3 linked regions of the Struthio camelus genome follow. The protein of the gene in region 2 binds, or shares a complex with, the protein of the main gene of each other region. Links are inferred from orthologs where the notes say so. Each region holds a gene or a part of one and is shown on either strand. Other genes may lie near its edges.

Region 1 (7,745 bases), on a different chromosome or scaffold from region 2:
AACAAACTCTGAAGCCATACGCTAGTTTAACATATCTATTTTTATTAGGTTGGGTTTAATTAATACAGTCAGGGAGAAAAAAGGGCTTCAGGTGCCCGCCCTCGAGAGAACCGTGCAAACGAAGTACCTTCAGGCAGGACCAAATCCGACGCAAAGTTAAAACTTACCCAGTTTCCCTGCCCTGATTCACAGCTTCATTAAGTTGGTGGAAAGACTCTCAGACCTGGGGAGCTGTGGATGGTGCTCCCAGAGCCTGGCTGACCCTGGGCCGGTGCCGGCGGGTGAGGCCGGCTGGCGAAAGCTCAGTCTCGCCTCAAGTCTGAGTGATGCTGCCAGCTTGGCGGAAGGCTGCGGAGGCCTGAGCAGAGGCAGCGCATGGTCTCTAAGCAGGAGGAGAGACCGTCCCTGCCGGCTAGAGTTCACTAAGGGTTTTGCCCACCCTCAGATGCCTCGCAGCAGGTTGTGGCTTGTGTTAGGCGAAAGATGGTGTCGGACCAGACAGCGTTTGACAGGCAGAGCGATGCCACTGCCGCGGTCACCACAACTGGATTTTCCCTGCAGCACACGTTAGCAGCTCTTAATAGCAATCGGGCAGTACGTAAGTTTGGAGGATGCGGTTCATCAAAGCGCGCTAAGATAATTGGCTGTTGCTTCATTTAACATGTCTGAATTCAGAGTGTGCGACTTGAGCTACAGAGGAAGCACAGCCGTCCCTCTTCTCAAAAAATTCAGTTCCACCCGTCAGAATTGTTGAACCTGTAGGAATAATTTTGGTCTGCGTTACATAGCTAAACAGTTAATTCATGCTCTGAAGAGCAAAAACAGCTCCGTGGCTCTCATTTTTTTTTGCTGCAAAAGCTTGGCAGGTCTCCTCTCCTGTTTCTCTGCTTTTCTCTTCTACTTCTTTGACTTTCTGACTTTTGGGAAAAAAGGCATTACCCAAGACCAGCGCTGAACACCCCAGAAGCGAGGGCATCGCATACTGACCCTGGAGAGCATGGCTCACGTCCTCTTGGATGTCCTCTTCTGACACACTGGTGGTAGGACAACATTTCAGACAGCAGCGAGAGCAGGGCTCACTTTCCTTCTCCATGAGACTATTTGTAGCACTGCTGAAGTTATTAAGGAAGTTATTAAGGAAAAAGAGGCAAGAAGGAGGCGTCAGCAGCGCAAAAAGCCTCGACGCCAGGCCACACCTGCTGCCGCTGAGCGCTCCCAGCTAGGACACCTATTCCAAGGGCCGCGAGGCCGCGACAAGCAGCATCACTGCTTGCAGGGCCACGAACGCCCCCCGGGCTGCTCGCCCGTTCCCAGCAGGCAGGGCGGCGAGGAGGGGCGCGAGGTGAGGCGGAGGCGCGCCTGAGGAGGGACGCGCCTTTGGTACCGCCACTGTTATTGCCTTCCCAGTTGGGGGATAACCTTTCCCGATGGATGATGGCCTTGCTCCCGACACGACCCGGGCGGGCAGAGCGTGGGGCTGCCCCGGCACCGCCGGACTGGAGCCTGGCTGTGCCCGAGCCGAGCTCACCGCGGGACGGGGTCACGGTCGGCGCCGGCCCGTCTCGCCCAGCCTCTCCGCGGAGACAGGGTCGCTCCAGACTACATATAGCGACAGGATCCTGGGGCGCCGGGGTAGGCGTTGTGCCTGTATCAGGAGTGAAGAAATAAGCTTTTATTGTTGTTTAACTGTCGTCGTCATCTCTGAATTGTGTAACCGCGATCACCCCGTGTGACCAGCTCCGCTCTCCTCTAAGGCCCATTAGTTCCAGTGGGATCTCATTAGAGGAGCGGAGGAGACCTCCCCCTGTACGGCTTTTACCATACCACATTTGCCACTTATAAAAGTTGCGATGAGGAAATGCTGTGCTAGATAAGACCTCATGCAAAACAGATGGCACAACAACATCTCTGTTTTTCTCCCAAGGCATGAAGCAAGACTGGGCTCTGAATTATCTGGAACAACATAACTAATGGTTCGTTATCCGGAACAATATAACTAATGGTAGTCTTCAAATAAGTCTGAATAAACCCTAAATAGTTTGCTTAACTGCTAATGTCATATTTAAGATAGTTCTTAAAAAATTGGAGAAATAATCATAGACGTAACAAAATCCAATAATAAAAATCAAAACTGCTAGTTAAATAATTCATTAGTTTACAACAACACGTACCATCACAATAGGCTTTCTCCTGAGCCTGGTAAGACATTTCAATTGGAAGTGAAATGGTTTGGAAGTTCTTTTCAAACCCCAGAAGAAAAGCTTCATTCTAACTACTCAGGGAGTTTTAAAAGTTCACAATTTTGAGCCTTAGTCTCAGAAGAAAAATCTCCACTCAGGCTGAGAAATTTAACTCTCTCACGCTGAGAAATTTAACATCATTTGCTGTTGAAACATTTATTGCATTTAAATTGAGGTTTTTAGGCGGGGCAAGGATTCACAAATACCAGGATTTTAGAAATAGATGGAGATTTTGTTTGATCTTTTCTTTCTCTTTTGTGATGTCCTTTTTGTGATATAAATAACAAGAGAGTTTGCAAAGTCCTGGAGCACCTCTCCACTTGAAATGGGTTTTGCTTTACATCTAGTTAGAACTTGCAACAAAAGTTTTCCACTTAATGTCAGATGAAGTAACTGTCTTTTAAAATAAACATTTGCACCTATGACATGATAAAGATCACTTTGAGATCACCATTTTGCATGCTAAATTGATTGCCACAAAAGCTAATGAAGGTATTTCTATAGTAGAAAACAGCAGTCTTGAAAAACAGAATACAAAACTCTCCTTTGCCACGAGCTCGCGTTCATGGGTGTTGCTAGTGTTGCTAAGAGTGTGAAATTTAACCGTACGGGAAAAAACCTTGTCTTCTCTCTCATACCAGGCACTGGTGGCATGTGCAATACCTGCCTTCGTGACCCACTCGTGAGAGACTAAGAGCTTACAATACCCAGTACAGCAAATAAAATTCAATGGCAACAAGGAACAGCCAATCTAATATATTCATAACAAAGTGTACGTATCACTGTCTTCATCCTGCAATGTTTTTTCTAGTAGTTGTAAATTTAACCCAGTGCTGAGCCTGGTTAAACAGAAAATGGAATAAATAGCTTTGCGTTTTTGGTTAGAAAAGCGTTGATGGCAACGCGGGGAACTGGAAAAAGGGCTGAAGGCAAAACTGTCTTCTAATGCCAGACTGGAGGCTGGCCTGGGTGAAGCACGGTCCTTCCCCACTTGCCTGACACTGCAGGATAGCACCTGGGGACGGCCGCCGCTGTGGACGACGTGAAGGAAAACCAGGACTTTAGGTTACTCCTATGTAGACGTGTTTATTCAAAGATTAAAATCAGTTACAGGACCTGACTGACTCTCCTTGTCTTCACGGAGGAAAATGTAGGTAAAAGCTTGTTCCTGAAGAGCTCTTCAATCCCTGCCTGAGAAAATAATTAAGCGAGAAAGCCCATTTGGAGAGGTCTCCCACGAATTAGGTAGAGGGCATTATGGGAAATAAATGAGGTTGCACTCCACTCAGTAATTGCACCAATTCAAGACAATGACTTCGTTTGCGATTGCTCGTTTTGCCTCTGTAGCAGGGGACGTAATAAGCAACAAAACCTCACTGCTAATTGCCGAGAGTACGTTCTCTAAGATACAGGTTAATTCAGTTAGTCGTAGAAAACAGCTTGACAAAAAGTAACATTTATCTGGCAGCTGTCATGAATGTGACCAGAATAACAGCCTCCAGCATTTTATTAAGCTATCTATAGTCTCTTACTGATTTCTCCCTCAACTACTGTTCTAAAACTACCATTTTAGTTATTTTTCACTTAGTTATTCTTTTGAATCTCAGAATTAGAATTATGGTCCAATTCTATAAGCCTTTACTTAGAGAGGTAGCTGATAATCACTCAAGCAATTCCAGTGAAATCAATGGGAAACATTTCTAAAGAAAGTGGTACATATGTGAAAATGGGGCCTGTTCCCAGGTGAGGAGCACAGTGGAGATCAGGGCAGTGGGCGCAGGCCCATTGGGTTTCTCCTTCTTGAATTCCCTGTGCCACTTTGCGAAAATCATTCAAATTTTTTCACCTGCAGCTAAAATGGAGATAACAGTACCTGTAAGATGAATTAGTATTTGTCAAGTGCTTTAAGATTTTCTGATGAAAGGGAATTTGAGGTAAAAGGACCACACATTAGACGGTGGTTTTGCCTGCTGGGACTGGTGGACCCGCTGGCCAGTTTTGGCTGAGCGCCACCGCAGCCCTGCCAGGGCTGTTCCCAACCCACACGTTGATCTGCCTACGCAGAACAGCTCCAGGGATGTGGGCAGTTTTGCAGGGGAGAGACTTGTTTTTAGATGTAGTAACCCAATAAATGATAGGTTACAAAGGACTTCACTGGTAAAAATAACTGCTTACAGAGTATTTCATCCTATCAAAAATCAAGGATACTTTATTACTGAGGGTGAAATTTGGTCTTGTTGACATCAACGGCAAATCTCCTTTTCAAGTCAGTTGTCCCAGAACAGTTAGGCAAAAGCAGCTAAGACACAGAGAAGATGAATGAGTCCCCTCTATGTTGAAATAGTCAAATACTGCAGTAAATGGGGAATGCAGAGTCACCTCTCAGAAAATGAAAGCATTAAACATACCGCTGCCTTGTTTCTTAGGCACAGTTCCAGACGACTTTCCTGCTAGGATGAACTTTGCCTCCCTCATTTCCATCCTGAGGATGACGTCTCAACTTGTAATTATTGATTAACTATCCCTGTAATGGAAGGGTGGCTGTCCTGTCTGGCTGTCGTTCAGGCCTGCTCTGGGAAACCAGAAATTACTGAAAATGTCCACCAGGTATCACAAAGCAGCAGCTGATGGCAATTTGGAGCTCCTGAAAGAAGCCACTAGAAAAGATCTCAATACTTTGGATGAGGATGGGATGACGCCCACCCTCCTGGCAGCGTACCATGGGTATCTGGAAGCTCTGGAAGTTGTATGTCGGAGGGGGTAAGTGAATCGGGCTCAGTTTCTTAGAGCTTGTGGCACAAAGCTATAAACAGCGTGTAGCATTTCTAGTGCTGCCAATGTGTCAGACCCAAAAGGCTGAATATCCTGGTAATTTCTTCCTACGGTTGTGTCTCTTCGTTCACCTTGGTTTAGGCCATGAACCTGCAAACAGCCCTGTAGCGGCAGGTCAGCGAAGCCACATCAACAGCCCTGGGACCCTGTCACGGACATGGAGTCTGCAGGCAGCAGTCGGTAGCAACAGGGTCTGGGACCTAATCCGGCCTTAATGGAGGTCAAAGAAAAACTACTGTTTGTCTTCTGTAGAGGTTAACTTACATCTTTGAGAATAACATACTTTGAAACTAGCTCTATAAAGAAATGTCTTGAAACATTTTGAGCAAAAGAGCTCTGTCGTTTGCTTCCAAAGTGCAGTCAATGCCTGTGAAGGTCTAATGCTTTTCTGAGGCGTCGCAACTGATAGTTTTGAGATGGTAATACCTAAAATTGTTATTTCTCTGCTCTTTATATCATTACCAACTACTACCATGCTAAAAAGTTCATGATACTGTTTCAGGGGCTCAGGTAGGATCTTTGCAAACTAAAAAAAAAGAAAAAAATAAAGGAAGGTTTTATACAGGTGTACCTGCTAGTAGTAATATTTCTGATTGGAATCATTTACACATACTACATGCTTAAAATATATTACTGAAAAGGTCACTAGCTCCCCGTATCATCCTCTGTACTCTCTCTGCTTGAAGCCTATCTTTTATGCTGTGGTTCTGCAAAAAGATCTAATAAAAGAGAAGCTTTTCATGTGCAGAGATACAGTAAAGAAAATGTTTTTTTCTGGGCTGAGATGAAGATTAAATTGACCTGTATTTTCACTTGTAATAGCTGAAAGAAGATTAGAGGAAAAAGTTGAACAGCTATTTGGATGTATTTCGGTTTTCTTTTCTTAAAAATAGAACTGAAAATACAGACTATGAATAGGCATGTCATAGATTTGCTTTATAGCTCACTGAGCTCAGGTGTGGTTGTAATAGCACAACAAAAAAGACCTTTGGACTGTATGGTTATTGCTGTGTCCCCAAAAGCAGCAAAAATAGACTGACAGATTTTCAACTTGTATAATTAATACAGCTCCACGGAAATACCTAGAATCAATACAGGTTTGTCTGTGAACACAGACAGAACATCTAGCTAAGGAAACAATAACAAGATAATCTTCAGAATCTGAGGGAAAAATATATAATCTACCATATATGTTGATAGAAGTCACAGCAGATGACACAAAGATCAAAATTCCTACGTATTTGTTACTCAGTATATTTCTGACTCTATTTTTCTTGGTATAGGACAATTTTGGGATAGTGTTGCCCTCAAAATCTTCAAACATATGCATTCACCGCTATTTTAATCCAAGATTCCTTGACACAGTCCATAGACTGAGGCAGTCAGAGACAGCGCTGTAGTCTTACTCATCCCTCCTTGGCCACTGGAGAGAGCTGAACTGTGGAAGATTTTCCCTGTTCTACAGGCCAGCAATGTTTTCTTGTGAGAAAATATTTTGATTATTTTTAACAAATTCTTCCTTTCCTTGAAGTAGAGGTGGTTTCAGGGGTTTCCTGACAAAGGCACTCAGACACAGGATGGTTTTCTTTAGAGTTGTTGCAGATTTTAGGACTCTGAAGCCTGCAACACAGTCGGCCTCTAGAAAATGTGGCAATATTAACAACAACTCCCTTTCATCTTTAAACAGTTTGTCTTCCCAGGCAGTAAGAGATCTTCTCTCTGCCTGCTGTGCAGATACACGACCAGAGGCAAGAGCAAGCAGCAGACAGCAAGTAGCAGATCTGCTCACTTTTGTGAGCACTTTTGCCTCCTTCCTCACACTTGGGAAAGGAGAGAAAAGAGGAGTATGAGAACCCAAAGTAGATGTCAGACTTTATCCAAAGCCGCCCTGAGTAGGGAATCACCTCTCTAGCTTGTGAATTAGTTGAGAGCCAAAGGCTGGAAGGAAAAGAAACAGCAAACGGCTATGAAGAGACCTGGGGGGACGGATGACCCAGCACTTCTAGGCACTCCTGAGCCAGACGCAGGACAACGTAGCCCGATTGCTAAATTGGGGATTAAGGAATCTGGCTTCTAGGGCATGCTCTACCACAGGCAGGCAGTTCCCTCGGGCAGAGCCAGAAAGCAGAAATAGGTACACATTTTCCATATGTCTAAGTCAAAAACTGATCCTGAGCTGTCACCTCCTTGCAGCAATGCCTGCGCTCAGATTTGCTGTTGTTTCTCTGTGTGAGCAGCTCTGTGTCTGGGTCCACAGGGACCGCAGTCTCCCTCATCTCCCGCCTGTGGCATTGTAGTCTGAAGGATGTTCTCAGATTTAGCGCTCCTCAGATATGTTAGTGCTTTTCTCCCAGTGATATGCAAAGCCAGAGATCAACACCTGAAGGAAATTCTGTGACAGGACACACCATTTCATCCATAACACAAGGGCCGTGGAATAAATCCCCCAAGACACTTAAATGTTTAAAACTCCCAAGAGAGGAAATTCTCTTTGTAAATTTGACCCCTGAAGTTATTAAGGATTTTGGAATATGGTGAGTGCCTTGGTTATCGGGCACAGAAGATTCACGTGCTGTTCTGAACCATTGCTAATATTGATCCTACCAAGTATGAGTGAAAAGACTCAAACCAATTCTAATCTGCAGGCAGCAGTTCAGCGTGAAATGAATGCAA
Region 2 (7,288 bases):
GGCAGGGCGCCTGCCTGCCCACGGAGTGGAGATCACCACCCGGCTCCCGCTCTGCCCCCACGCTGGCATTGGCGGCAGCAGCCAGCCTGCCCCTGGTGGAGGGCACGGTCCCTTCTTCATCCCCGCAGCGTGCCCAGGCCACAGGACTGGCATGGCACGTACCAGAGGTGGCTTCAAGCAAACCACGCCTGTGTCACCCCAGGCTGCTCCAGCCCAGGGCCAGTGCCCAGGTGCCCGCCATCACACCACTTCACTCCGAACACACATCCCTCCCTTAGACCTTCATTCATCCAGAAAGCAGTGAGAGACTAGGAGGTGGTTCCTGTCCTGCTAGTGCCAGGACAGACCGCAGGTATAGCTCCAAAGGGACAGCCCAGCAGCGCCAGCCACAAGGTGCTCTGACCTGGCTGAGCAAAGCCGGTGATGGACAGACCATGCTGCATGGGCCCTAACCCTGACCTCTGCCAGTCTGCCCGAGGGCAGGCTAGCATGGTCGTGGTCACATCTCTGCAAGGCGGCCTCAGGGTAGGTCCCTGGGACACAGGAACAGCCACCAGTCAGAGCGCCCCAGTTCCAAGCAAGGTTTGGGGGGGACAAAGCCCCGCACCCTGGCTGCGACTCCTTGTGCAGCAGGGCTCTGTGCAGAGGGGAGTCACACCTGAGCCCAGGCGGCTCCCGCCTCCCATGCCAACACCTGCCCCGGCCCTGCTGGCACTGCCACCCGAGCAGAGGGATCGAGACGGGCTGCAGGGCACCTGCCAAACCAAATCCCACAGCCCGAGGGACTTGCAGACGCAGAGCACAGCTCCTGCAGCCTGGCCAGCTTCAAAGCAAACACCCAAAGGTGACAAACAAAGGCACCCAGCAGGCGCTCCGCATTAGCAGTATTTTTAGACGCCGCTATGGAGCCGGCCTTATTATTTTCATTGCAACGTGCATAATTACCCACCATGCACTGCAGTGACATCAGACGGCAGCCTGCTCCCATCCGACAGCCGGCAAGGCCAGGCTCGCGCCTGCTCCTCCACCCATCGCCCCGGCCGCGCACAGCGCTCCTGCCACAGGGACGGATTCGGCCTCCGCAGCCTCTGACCTGCGCATCTCCCCAGGGCACGGCGTCACCGCTGCACGCGGGAGCTGCGCCTCCCAGGGGACTCGGGTCCTCGGGAGCCAGTGAAGGAGCCAAAACAGGTGCAGGTGGCACAGGGGAGGTGGGAGGAGAGGCCGAACGGGGCAGCGACGCAGGACGGTGGCGAGGAGGAAGGCACAGGACGAAGCTCCGGAGCTGCAGACGCGCGGGCGAGACCCGCTCAGCCGGCTGTCCGAGAGGCAAGGGGCTGGTGCAGGGCTCCCGGGGCGCAGTCTGCATCCGAGATGCCGCAACAAAACCAAGACGCACTTGTAGGAAGACGTGCTGGCCCGACAGCGGAGAGACAGCATCCACCATGGCGCAGGCTGCCAGCAGAGTTCAGCCGCTGAACTTCTGCCTGAGGAAGCAAACCCTGGCGCGCAGCACCAAACCCAGAGATCCTGCAGGCCTGCAGAGCTCAGGCTGTAGGTTTCGCACATCCCAAGCTACGGATACCCCCATTCCCACACAACCTCTGTGGGACGAGGCTGCTCGTGAGCCCAGCCTGGCACACGCACACCGCCTGCGATCGTGGTATACGCAACACCGTCTAAGGGTTTATTTATTTCCAAGCAGCTTCTCCATTTACGACTTTCTCAAGAGTTTCGCCACTTCCCCTTCCGTCCCTCCTCACGCAACACGGCGCTCACCCCGCGCGGGGCTGGAGATGACCGATTTCAGGTCAAGCAGCGCCGCGCTGGGAACGGGAGCGGCAGACGGAGCACTTTTATCTCGTCCTATAAAAAGTGCCCTTCGAGTCAGCGACACAAAACCCAGCCTCGACGCAAGCCAACAACTCCTGCGCAGCCGGAGACACGGCGGGGCAGAAACAGGGCGGCCCGGCAGCCCCCGCAGAAGGGACGAGAGCGCCGCTGGGCTCCAAAAGGAGGCGGGCGCCCGGCGCAGCCCGCCCCAGCTCTGCTGCCCTCCCCGATGCCCCGAGCAGACCCGAGGCGCCCGGCGCGGCCCTGCTCTCCCTGGGGGGCTCCCAGAGAGCTGGGGGCTTTTTCCGCCCGTCCCCGGCGGCAGCCACCCCAGCACACCCACCGCCTTGCGCCTGCCCCACGCGTCCAGCCCCGGAGCAGCGGGTCCTGCCGCCCCACGCAGCCACCCGCCCGCCGTGCGCCGGCCCCACAGCCCTGCTCACTGCCTTTCGCCTGGCATCAGGCCCTGCCCGTGCATCTGCCACCGTGCACCGCTGCACCGGGCCTGGCCTGCCTCTTCCCGGTGCACCGGGCCGGCCTGCCCCACCCCCTGGCACCGCTGCACCAGGTCCTGTCCCCTTCCTGGTGCACCGGGCCTGCCCCCTTCCCGGTGCATCCAGCCTGCCTGCCTCTTCCCGGTGCACCGGGCCCTGCCCACTTCCCCGGTGCACCGGGCTGGCCTGGCCACTTCCCCGGTGCACCGCGCCCTGCCCCCTTCCCGGTGCACCGGGCCTGCCTGCCCCTTCCCGGTGCACCGGGCCTGCCTGCCCATTTCCCAGTGCACCAGGCCCTGCCGCCTTCCCGGTGCACCGGGCCCTGCCGCCTTCCCGGTGCACCGGGCCCGCCTGCCCACTTCCCGGTGCACCGGGCCCTGCCCCCTTCCCGGTGCACCCAGCCTGCCTGCCCACTTCCCGGTGCACCGGCCCTGCCCCCTTCCCCGTGCACCCAGCCTGCCTGCACCCTTCCCGGTGCACCGAGCCCTGCCCGCCCCCTTCCCGGTGCACCGGCGCTGCCCGCCCCATGCTACCACCCCCCTACCCGGGCTCCGGCCCCGGCGCCGCCGCTCCCGCACCTACCGGAGGCGCCGCCCCCGCCGCTCGCCCGCTCTGCCCGGCGCACGAAGGCCGCTCGGTGCCCGCCCGCGGCTCAGCCCGCTCGCATGGCGCGGCCGCCGGGCTCGGTGTCCCTCCCGGTGCCGGTGTCCCTCCCGGTGCCGCTCCCGCTCCGGCCTCGGCCCGGCCTCAGCCCCGCCTCATGGTACCCCTGCGCCCGCCGCCCCGATGGAACCGGCCGCGCCGCGCCGCCAGCCCCCCCCCGCCACGCGAATGGGCGCGCCCGTCCCCCCCAACCCTACTACGCCCAAGAGCGGCGCCGACGAAACCGCGAGGCGCCGTGCCGGGCCGCGGGGCGCTCTGCGCCGTAATGCTTCGAGCGGCAGCGCACGCGCCCGGCTCGGAGGGCAGCGCTGGGGAGTGTCCGGATCTAGCCCGGGAGGCTCTGCTGGGGTGTCCCAGGCCAGCCCGGGGGGCTGTGCTGGGGTGTCCCGGTCCGGCCCGGATGTTTCTGCTGGGGTGTCCCAGTCTGGCCCGGGGGTCTCTGCTGGGGTGTCCTGGTCCGGCCTGGGGTCTCTGCTGGAGTGTCCTGGTCCAGCCTGGGGTCTCTGTTGGGGTGTCCCAGTCTGGCCCGGGGGTCTCTGCTGGGGTGTCCCAGGCCAGCCCGGGGGGCTGTGCTGGGGTGTCCTGGTCCGGCCCGGGTGTTTCTGCTGGGGTGTCCCAGGCCAGCCCGGGGGTCTCTGCTGGGGTGTCCTGGTCCGGCCTGGGGTCTCTGCTGGAGTGTCCTGGTCCAGCCTGGGGTCTCTGTTGGGGTGTCCCAGTCTGGCCCGGGGGGCTGTGCTGGGGTGTCCTGGTCCGGCCCGGGTGTTTCTGCTGGGGTGCCCCAGGCCAGCCTGCTTCCCCTCACCCCAGCATGTGGGGAAAGTACCTGGTGGGGCTGGATGTCCTGGGGGCACCCTTGAGTCCCCCTGGCTGCACCCTGCAGGGCTGCCCAGCCCCTTGCCCCCTGGGGTCCCCGGTGAAAAGGGGGTGAAGGTGCTGGGACCCCCCCGGCCGGGTGCTGCAGGCCCTCGGGGCTGGGGCTGGCAGGCCCGCGCCCCCGCCTCCCGGCCCCCTTCTGCCTGAGCAGAGACGCACAATCCGCCCTTGTCCCCGGCCGGCCCCAAGTAGGTCAGGGAGGCCGGGCTGAGCCCCCCGAGCTCCCCAGGAAGGAGAGAGGAGCTAGCAGGCACGGGCTGCAGGGCCCCGGGCTCCCGCCCCGGCAGCCACTCCGCTCACCCCCTGCCCCAGCGGGAGCCAGCTGTCCCCGACCCAGGGGACAGGGTCCATCCCCAGTGCCCTCAACCCATTTCAGAGGGCGGTCCCCTCCATCCTGGCCTGCTTGGAGTCCCTCCGCCCCGCCGTGGGCCCTGCCGCGCTCCTGGCACCCGCGGGAGCCGCGGGGACAGCAGCCAGCGCGGGGGGCTGGGGGGCTGCGGCTGAGGAGCGAGCACGGGGCCAGGCCGGACCCGGGAGGTGGGGGATGAGCTCGAGGAAGGAGGAAGGTGAAAATGGATTTCTCACTCCCTAATTCCAGTTAATGATTGATGAACCTGTTTACAGCAGGAGGCAAAGGTCCCCCGCGGTGCCAGGGTGTGGGTGCAGGCAGCTGCCCAGCAGCATCCCCGCGGACCCGGCCGCAGGTAAGGGATGCCGGCCCCAGCCCCCGCGGTCCAGCGGTGACGGGAGGCGGTGGGTGTCCGGCGGCAGAGAAGAGCTGCGGGCCGTGGCCCGAGGAGGGGGGCAGCCGCGGCGGTGTTACAGCTTGTGCCTGGACTCCGAGCGCCCCGTGTCCAGGCTCCTATGGGTGGGACCTGGCACCCCAGGAGAGCAGCAGTCCCATCCCAGGCTCTCCCAAATGGCTGCTGCAGCCTGGGGACACGGGTGGCTCCAGCATCCCAGCGCCATGGGGCTGGGAGGGCCTGGGGGACGCCTGCGTGGGCTCTCCCCAGCAGCTTCCCGGCGGGACAGCCGAACCCCCGGCCAACCGAGCCCTCCGGGGCTTACGGGATGGGCTGTCCCCGTGCCTGGGGGCTGCCCGTGGCCCCAGAGCCCGTGGTGGGCTGTGAACAGGCGCAGCTTGCCCCATACAGATTTGGGGACAGCATGGAGCCTGGCGTCTTGCTCCCCGGTACACTCAGTCCCGCTCAGCTCACCCGAGCTGGGTCCCCCTGCCTGGGGCGCTGCCCCCCAGGAAGGGGCCGGGGCGGCCGGCGGGAGAGGCCGGCTGCTGACCCGGAGGTGCTGGGTCTCCCATGTGTGCCCGCAGGCTTGCCAGCAGGATGGCAGGGCGCGTGCTGGTGCTGTTCCCCTTCTTCCTGGCGGCAGGTGAGGACTTTGCTTGGTGGCTTGCCAGGGTGGGTGGGAAGCGCTGGAGGTGCCTGAGGCCCCCGGCTCTCGTCCTTGTTTCCTTGAGGGCAGCCGGGACCCCCAAAACAGGTGCCCACCCCCTTGGCACCAGTGTTGAGGACCCAGCGGCTATCCTCCTACCCCAGGGAGCAGGGGTGGCCTGGACCTGGGAGGTGGGGGACGACACAAGGAGGGAGGGTGAGAAACAGCAGGCTGGGGGGTTCCCTGGCCCCCCGGGACTCAAAGCACCTCCAGGAGCTGAGCGCTGGGGCTGGGCAGGCTCTGCTGGCTCTGCGGTGCAGGGCCCGGGCAGAGGCCAGCTCAGGGCTGTGCTCAGCACACGTCCTCGCTGCAGTTTCAGGGAACACAGCCCCCTACTTCAACATGACCCTCGTGTACGTGCCAGAGGACCTGAAGATTGGTGAGTGGGGCAGCTTCAGAGCTGCCCGGATGAGGAGAGGCCCTGGGGTGCCGGGGGAGCACCCAGCCGTCCCCCCACACCCGGCAGCCCTGGGCGGGTGCTGACGCTGCCCTTGTGCCCAGGCGAGGAGGCCTTCCAGTTGCAGGCAATTGATGCGGACGGGGACCCACTCACCTACAGCATCAGTGGGTCAGAGGCCTTCTACTTCTCTGTCGAGGCCCACACGGGCAAAGTGCTGCTCAAGAACCTCCTGGACCGTGAGGTGAGGGCAGAGGCCCCGGCCCCGAGCTGTGAGCTGGCATCTCGGGCACTGGCGGGCTCTGGGGGGACAGACAGCAGAGCGAGGAGTCCTCTGGGAGAGCTGCTCGTGCAGCACCGTGGGTCCCTGCCGTGGGGCAAGGCCATGGGCAGCTCCGGGCTGTGCCGGGGGAACCGCCACGGGCTGGAGGCTGCAGGCAGAGGTGCACGTCAGGGAGCCCAGGGCTGGGGCAGGGAGCGAGGGACGTTTGCCACCAGCTCCCTGGCCCCCAACCCCAGCTCGGGGAGGGAGAGCCGGCCAGGGGGAGCAGCGCACCCAGGGGTGGTGGCTGGGAGGACTGAGCCCTGCCTGGCTCTGACTGAGTGTGTGTCTCCATGTGTGTCTCCATGTGTGTCCCCACAGTCCCTGGCCAGGCTCACGCTCACCATCACAGTGTCCGACGGGCAGAACGACGCGGTGAGTGCCGGGGTCGCGGTGTGGCAGGGGGTGGCTGTGGCAGCAGCTGGGGCCAAGCAGGGTCTCAGCGTGGACAAGGACCAGTGGTGAAGGGTGCCGGGGCAACGCTGCGCCGCCGGACGGGTGCAGAGCCGTGGGGACGTGGGGCGCCGGAGCAGCACCCAGCTCTCCTGGGCACCCCATCTCCCTGCCCCTGCTCTGCACCGTCACTGATGCCCGCTGCTCCCGGTAGGTCTCCAAAAAACTGACGGTCATCGTGGAGGACCGTAACGACAATGCCCCCATCTTCCAGAACCTGCCGTATGAAACCACCGTTGCGGAGGTAGCTTCCCACAGGGAGGAGGGCAGGCGTGCGGGGCTGGCACCGGTGGCATGGGTGTGCCGGAAGCAGGGTGACTGCGAACCTGGGAGGGGGTGACTGCGCACCGGGGAAGGCTGGATCTTGGAGCAGCACGTGCCAGGGCTGTTCCTGGGTGGGTGCCTCCGTGCCAGGCCTGGGCGCTGGGGAGGGCTGGGACTCTGCCCTTGCCATGAGTCGATCAGGGAGTGCCTGAGCCACCTCTCCACCCAGGCTGGGGTGAGGCCGGTTCGGGGTGCAGACAGGCTATGGGTCTGAGCCTGACCCTCCCCGATGGTCACAGCCCTGGCTCCTAGGAAGCCCCACAGAAGGTGAGGGGGAACCTAGATCTGGCCCCCCGCTCGGCGTGAGCAGGGACAGCAGCTCAGCCCTGTGCAGCCCACAACACCAAGCAGTCCCACAGGGCCGAGGCACCCCAGGCTAGGGCTGGCGGGGTCAGGCTCAGTGCCACTTCCCCTGCCCTCCTGGGCGATGCCACCACTGCTTGCCTTGTGTCTCCAGAACATGACAGCCGACAGCAT
Region 3 (7,576 bases), on a different chromosome or scaffold from region 2:
GTTTGCTAAAACCATTAAGTTTTTTTTTTTTTTTAAACAAGGAAAGACACCTGCAACTGTGGAAGCTGTGTATGCTTCTAGAGGGCTAGAGCTGTAAGAGAATTTTTTATTAAATGCAGGAAAAATGAAGGAAAAAAAAAAAAAAAGATTGCTTCAGCTTTGTTTTTGGACTCCCATACCCTGCTTCTACTAGATTAAACTACATGGCAAACAGTTTCAGGTAGCTCAAAACTGTACTTCTGGCAATTATAGCAAACATCAAAAAATTGTGCCCAGCTCTATAGAGCTAACAGGTATTTTGCTCAAGTAATTTTTCAAATAAGCTCTATGAGGCAATATTTCTTGCGTATATTTATCTGAACTTCGCTACCTTATCTGCATTCTCTTACCGTGATCTTTTGGGTGTAAGCTGATCATACTCCACCTGGTGTTTTAATGGGATAAGTGGGCGGATAGCATCAAACAGAGGCAATCTGCTTGGTTCATTAATCACGAGCTTTAGGTCCCCCACAAGCACTGGAAGATTCATAGATCTACAAAATTACAGTGAGAAAAAGGCTTAGCTAACCAACATACCAAAGTATTATTTAATTTAAGCTACGTGTGGAGCAAGTTATATCTGCGTATGCCTTCAACCTACTAAGAAAGTTATTTATGCAGCTCTTGTTTAAACCAAAGCAAAATAGTCTTTGAAAAACTAAACCCTCTGTAACGAGATAGGTAGGTAGGAACAGTAACCACATCCTTAAAAATAACTGAAGTCTCCTATACCTTACATCTGTTAACATGATGTACATCACATCTTTATAGAAGACATCTTCAGTTTCATTCTCAGAGTCCCCAACAGAAGACTTATGGGATTGTTTGGAAATAACTTTCCAGACCAGTTATATCTGCCTACTATACTTCTATTTCCTTACTAGTTCACAGTCCTTCCAAGGCTACAAATTCCTTCCTCTCCTGAATTCAGGGGACTAATCAATTGTTTCCACCCAGGAAGAAATCACATGATACCCAATAGAGAAAAGACCCGTTTTAAGATTTGTTTCAAACCAAAACAAACCAAAACTGAAGGGTCATTAACCAAGTTAACCACTAACAAAATCTACACAAGTGAAACTATTGTGGCCATTTGTTTTCGTGACAGCTATGCAAAGTAATCCTTGATACTGTCAGCACCGAGATACTCATAGCTCTAGAAAGTGGTCTTTGTTGCCCAGCTGCAAGCATGGAACAGCTCTATATAAGTGGAGCTATTCCTATGTAGCATCCAGTTAAACTTAGTCTACAGTATCTGCTGTTCCCTCTCTCACCAATTAGGTTTCCTGACATAAAATATTTTTGAGGTATATATACTGAAAATACAGATCAGGAATGGCTATTACATGAGACTAGAGGCCATATACTTTGATTTGCAAACACTATTCACAGTGAAGCAGATGTTAAATATTAATGCCAATAGCAATTGTGTATATTTTTGTCCTTGAAATGCTTTGTAATTAATTTGAAAAAGAAAGAAGCAGCAGCAGCAGCTTGATCAATAAATCCTCACAGCAATATTTGAAGTTTTACTCAAAAGCTGTTGCAGTTCTGGATATTGAGGAAAAGTTACTATATGCATTGTTAATTTTGTAACTGCAAGAAGATTTTAAATAATTAAGAGCTACCAACTCAACCTGCTTTCCAAACAACAGGCTTTATGAATGGAGAAACAATTGGACAGACCCGACTGAAACAGAATCAGATATGCAGCTGAATACACCCAAAATGATAGCTCAGTACAAACACTGCATGGAAACATCTACATCTCACTCAGCTGAGATGCTATTAGTTAAGATATGAATGGAAACAATGTCCGTCAGAGCCAGTTGCCTGTGATGAGTGGAAAATACATTCTCATATTCTTTGAGAAACAATGGATCAGATGCTGATCTCATTTGCAGTGATATAACTCCTAAGCAACCATGGTTTAAATCAGTTCAGTAAAAGGACTGGTAATTGGCCTATCACCTTACAGTTTTTCCTTTTCATTATGTCTTAATAAATCGAAGTTGTTAAACATGCTAGACAGACGCCCAGCCTAATTTTTTTCAGCTTTCAGATAAAACAGTTGAAAATAATTCTTAATCTGAATAGTTTACAAAAATCTTTAAAAAGCAGACTCAGCAAAAGCCTCCGACCAAAATAAATATGCATTCTTTGAAAATATTAATGAATGTTATCAATACTCTCTTCCGTTTCCTAAGTACGGCTTTATTACCTGCATTCTTGTTTCCCTCCCAATAAAGGTCCACAAAACCGACAAGCCATAAAAACAAAGAAACTGTAGTATTAGCTACAGTAAATACTCCTTTTTTGTCAGCAGGCTACTCTGCAAAAGTATAAGACTTCGTTACATAGAATTAGAAATTATTACTTTTATTTTCTAGATGGTATTCAGAAAGATTGCTTTCATAAAATATTGAATGTTCATCCTTCAATTTTAAAAATATTGGTGAAATTCAACACAAACATATATAAAGCTAGATCTTACTGGTGGTACATCCGCAGCACATCATAAAGGTAATCCTTCTCAGCTTCATTGTCAATTAGCAGATTAACCTGAAAATCCAAAGACTTTATTGTAATTTTCTTACTAAGTAGCTACAAATGTTGAACATACAAAGCTTTCACAAATTCCTAAGCCATAGTCCAAAGACTTCAAGAGGGGAAAGTTTTTATAAAAAAAAAAAATAATAAAGCAGCACATTTTTGCAAGACAGTATTTTTATCTCAAAATACGAAGCTTGCAATAAGACTTTTTAAAATTAATATTGCAGTAATTGAACAAGGCAGTAAATACTGAAATCACACATTCTATATGCTAGATTTCTTCTCAGCAGAGCAATGCTGTCACAATAATATCACATTTGCCTTACCTGATAATCAGTGTACTGTTGAATAAATGTTTTCAGAAACCTTTTTGGCCATTCATTAACATAGCACATGCTGTCACAGATAAAAACATCACACTGATATAATTATAACCTATGTTCCGTGGCTCCAAACCACCGATTTCCGTATTTCACTTAAACATTATGCAAACTTCTACACTGCTGTTCCTCTTCGCTCCAGCTCTGAAGTGATAGAACTGGCTAGTTATTCTTTCCTCCCTTAGTAATAGTACATTTACTTAAACTAGTATCACATTACAATGCCTGTTCTTGGATAATTACAGTAAAATAAAATTTAAAAAAAATACAGAAATCTGATATGAGGAGCTCAATTTATATTCAGTGACAACAGTAAGAACCCCACTGATCTTACTTGCAGTAAGAGTTCACATCACCACGATTTTCCTTTAGACAAGCTTAATGTTTAGGAAAACCATTTACATGTGACCTAAAGGCTAATATTACTGTGACGTGCAGTCTGAAGACTAATTTGCATACTTAAAGGAAGTTCCTTTCTTTCTAGATTTGCACCAGTTTGTAGTATAGTCTAAACTAAATAAATGCTTCATATTCTCTTCAACCCCTTCTGCTCTCTGAAGTCAGCCAGACTCCACTTATAAGTGATTTTCTCCTAATTATATCCTGTGGAAGAGAATACTTTCAAAACAATTAAAGGCTAGAAAAATTACACACAGGACAGGACTGCATGAATCCTACTCAAGATTGCTTTACTAGCAAGTAAACTAATTTATTCACAGTGAATTTCAAAACACCTTAAAAGGAAATAATACATTTGCATTCATAACTGACTGGTTCACCAATACCATACATAGTTTTATATTTATCACCTTGAGTTGCTTCTAAGTCCAATATTCATTTCTCTCTTTCCCATCAGTAAAAATACTCACAGCATGAATCAGCTTAGGGCCTGGTCTAAGGGACTCAACTTCTACTGCTAACTATGGTTCTGTACAAGCCTGCTTATATGATCTCGTGAAGAGTACCAAATACGTCAACCTGTTTCCCTCGCAGAGAAAAGGCCAAAACCCTCATCTTCTTTCTTTCTGACTGGGAAAGCAACCAGTAACAACGTACTTTTTCTCTCATGCACTAGCTGGTGGGCACGTCTCCCACCCTCCTTAGGCAGCAAAGGTCTGCATCTAAATTTCTTCTCACACTACATTCGGCCTTTCTTTTCTGTTTGATTACCACACTTCTCACTCTAAGCCAGCAACCTGCTCCTTCCTTGTGAAGTTTACCTGGATGTTGGTTGTCTCATCTATTCAGAACACGACTGCTGGGAAAGTCTTCCTGGACCTTCTCTCTAATCAGGTCATTCTTCTCCTGCTGCCTCCTATTTCACCAACTATCATTTTTATTGTAGCCACCTGCCATCTCTTACCATTCTTCTAAATAATTAACTCCTTGGGATAGCCTTATTGTAAGTATACAGTTTAGCTAGTCTCATCAGCAGCTTCTAAAAGCTGACTCTGCAGAAATCTCAAAAGTTCTTGCCCTCACAGGTTAAGCAATAAATCAGTGACAACATGGTGTAACCTGGACCAGTAAAATGTTTTAGTAGCTCTCTGGTTCTTGAGAAATGTAACTGTGGAGGCATGGGATAGATGATTTCATAGCCTGTAAACCCAGGAGAGTCCATTCTGCTCATTTTCATTATATTCAACTTTTATACCATTTCTGCTGATTTGTGCACCAAGCCCATGGCTTCTGGTTGAACTGCACCATCTCTTTTAGAAAGCTACCCAACTCTGAGCAGGAGGGCTTCATCTCATCTGTAGGTTAGACATATAGCTTAAAGCATATGACTGGGATTCCTTCATAGTCAATGGATAAAGGCAGGCACTTCCACTTGATACTTCATCCTAGACATCTGCAGAAGACACTTCATTACATCCTTTCTCCAATGACTACAGAGGAATCCTGAAGTGACAAACTTAGACTAGAATGAACTGAAGTTCTATGCAAAATTTGGACAGATTATTCCACCTCCAGTATGTAAATTATCTGATTATTTTACATAAGGGTCTGTTAAATATGAGTAACCTTATTTTTTCAGAAACATCTTCTCTGTGTCGGAGGGCTATAACACACCATTCTGTTTCATACCTACAAAGGTAATGTGCATGATGAGTGGATCCAGTACTCAGCGTTATATAAGTACACACACAGAGAGAGTAAACTCCTCTGCTAATGTACCAACTATGACACAGAGAGAGTAAACTCCTCTGCTAATGTACCAACTATGACAAAGACACATACCTATCTCTTCAACAAGGTTAACAAGATGGACTTCTCCTAACCTCTGACTTCAGCATAGTGAATTTTTGAAGCTTGTTTCTAACCTCTTGGTGTAATTCCTCGGATATTCTATCTGGACACAGTGTTGGAGTAGTGCCATCATTGCCATTACATTGGTATTGAAATAGCAAGCTTAAAAACAAAGAAGCATGCAACAGACATTTATCTAAATAAAAATAGCATCTGGAATTAAAACAGAGACTGCAAGTGATAGAAAACCTCTTGGTTATAAGCGCAGGCCATGACACAGCTCTCCATTATGGGCTTCTTTCACTAGCTGCAGAAGCATTTTGCTACCAGCTATTGTAAAACACGGAGCTGATTGCTGATCTAGTCAAATCTAATAGTTCATTTTAACATCGGTGTAATTGTTAAAGGCTTCAGGTTCAAATATGTTTTTAAGAAAACTGACATAGAGACAGATTCTGTAAGCAAGAATGAATATGCATAAATGGACACATCGATTTATTGTTTCCTCAGTGAGCTTCAACACATGCACCATTGAACTTGAAACACAAAACAGTAAATAGTGAACAGCATGACATCTGCCGCACTTTCTAAAACACAGCACAATTTACCAACTGAAAAATAAATCAGTTGTGTGGAGACTTGATAAAATGAACATGTGTCCTGATTGTTTAGCGTAAGACATTAGGTACTGTATTTGTAGTCTCTTATATGAAAGGTCAAAGCTCATGTGATTACACATCTTACAAAATCATATCTTGTAGCAGATACAGAAATGCTAGGATAAACAGCTGCAGATACCTCTATTAAGAAGCAATATGTTATTTAGGTAGACACTTAATGGATGTTCTTAATATAAAGGTATTTCATATTGATTATTTAAGGATACTATAGCAGTTGTGCAACTTTCACATAGTTCTTGTGTAACTCTCAATCCCAGAATACATATGAAAAGTTGCTTATGCTCTATTTCTTACTACATATATCACACAGTTTTGTCCATTTAAATTAATAAGAAATCATCACAAAAATTGCACCTACATACAAAAAGTCTGCAAGAGATCTATAGCAGGTTATTTAGTAGAATAAAAACTGTGAAAAAAAAACCCTGGAATTTTCCACACCAAAAGTGCTTATTACAGTGAGGCACTACTGTAGCAGTAGCCTAATCCATCAGCTTTCAAAAATTACTATAAAACTGTACTTGAACTACGAAGCCTTTGGAAACTATTTCAGAAAATGGAAGAACTGGCCAATATACTTGTGAATAATTAATCTCTAGGCTTGCTGCTTAGTTGATAGGGAGGACTGATTAAAATTATAGAGAAACAAAAACAAAATGGAAGTGGCAAATAATTGACCGGAAACTCAGGTCCTGTAGCTGTGCACTTTCATTGTTTTGACACAGCAAAAGCAAGTACACAAGATATTAAAATTCTACAGAGGCCACTAAAAGCATGCTGATACAAAACAATTTAAAGGAGAACACCTGCTTCAATATTGTCTTACTCAGATAAACCATTTTCATGTAGACATGCATCATATTTACTTTCACCAATGAATGGCGGTGATAAAGCTTCCTTGTGTTAGTAGGGTGGGACTAGGATGATTCATGAATTATAGCAGAGACGAAAAGGAATAAGGTTTAAGGTTCAAGATGGTAACCGTTTGCCCAGACTTTATAGACAAGTTGCATAACCCACTGCGGAGTTATACAATAATAGGTAGCAAGGCAGAAATAACTTGCTAGATACCAGTAGTCATAAGTACACAGTATCCAGGTCCTTAAAGTTTTTGGACTTCATTTCGTATATAGCTGGTTATTTGCAGCCCCTCTACTTCATTCTAACAATTCTTTAGTCAAGGGTTTTATTACCAGTTCACGTTTAACTACTATAGAACATAACATTACACTACTGTCTTTTCTGGAACTTACCTCAGAGAAATCCCATTCACTAGCAAAAAAAAAAAAAAAGGCACTAAAAACTTTAGTCTGAGACAGTTGTAAACTGCTACGGCAAAGCATCCCTTAAAGGTATATACCTTTTTTTCCATTCATTTCCTTAAAAAGTGCTCTTTGAGCTTACTTTGCTCACACGATCATGAGCTCTACAGAGCACTTACTTGACTAGGTAAGTGACAAAACGACGTGCCAGGCAGACCGAGCCGCTCCATGTACGAAGCGCATTTGCACATGACTGCACATGCACAAATGCACGTCGCTGGAAAGTTAAGGTGGCTCTGGACGCTCCTGAGCCCCGGCTGCTGCTGCGCAGAACCGCAAATGCGAACTCCCTGTTGCAACAGTGTTTCCTGACACGATTGTATTGAGGCGCGGGAAATAACTGTGTCAAGCC

What was found. Proteins that work in one complex are often made in the same cells at the same time.
Region 1: CDHR2 (region 2) and ANKS4B share a complex: the UniProt entries of both Homo sapiens proteins name them as parts of the IMAC/intermicrovillar adhesion complex. The link is inferred for Struthio camelus from reciprocal best matches to the Homo sapiens genes CDHR2 and ANKS4B.
Region 3: CDHR2 (region 2) and USH1C share a complex: the UniProt entries of both Homo sapiens proteins name them as parts of the IMAC/intermicrovillar adhesion complex. The link is inferred for Struthio camelus from reciprocal best matches to the Homo sapiens genes CDHR2 and USH1C.

What each region holds. Positions count from the first base shown.
Region 1 is NC_090956.1:9,588,120-9,595,864, reverse strand, and holds the start of ANKS4B (ankyrin repeat and SAM domain-containing protein 4B), read left to right. Parts: upstream 1-4,743; 5' UTR 4,744-4,836; coding exon 4,837-5,000; intron 5,001-7,745. UniProt on the Homo sapiens protein: As part of the intermicrovillar adhesion complex/IMAC plays a role in epithelial brush border differentiation, controlling microvilli organization and length. Plays a role in assembly of the complex.
Region 2 is NC_090954.1:10,026,922-10,034,209, reverse strand, and holds the start of CDHR2 (cadherin-related family member 2), read left to right. Parts: upstream 1-4,284; 5' UTR 4,285-4,400; intron 4,401-4,487; 5' UTR 4,488-4,567; intron 4,568-5,193; 5' UTR 5,194-5,206; coding exon 5,207-5,252; intron 5,253-5,628; coding exon 5,629-5,694; intron 5,695-5,816; coding exon 5,817-5,956; intron 5,957-6,355; coding exon 6,356-6,409; intron 6,410-6,641; coding exon 6,642-6,731; intron 6,732-7,268; coding exon 7,269-7,288. UniProt on the Homo sapiens protein: Intermicrovillar adhesion molecule that forms, via its extracellular domain, calcium-dependent heterophilic complexes with CDHR5 on adjacent microvilli. Thereby, controls the packing of microvilli at the apical membrane of epithelial cells.
Region 3 is NC_090946.1:20,461,664-20,469,239, reverse strand, and holds the start of USH1C (harmonin), read right to left. Parts: upstream 3,003-7,576; 5' UTR 2,988-3,002; coding exon 2,919-2,987; intron 2,602-2,918; coding exon 2,534-2,601; intron 534-2,533; coding exon 390-533; intron 1-389. UniProt on the Homo sapiens protein: Anchoring/scaffolding protein that is a part of the functional network formed by USH1C, USH1G, CDH23 and MYO7A that mediates mechanotransduction in cochlear hair cells. Required for normal development and maintenance of cochlear hair cell bundles.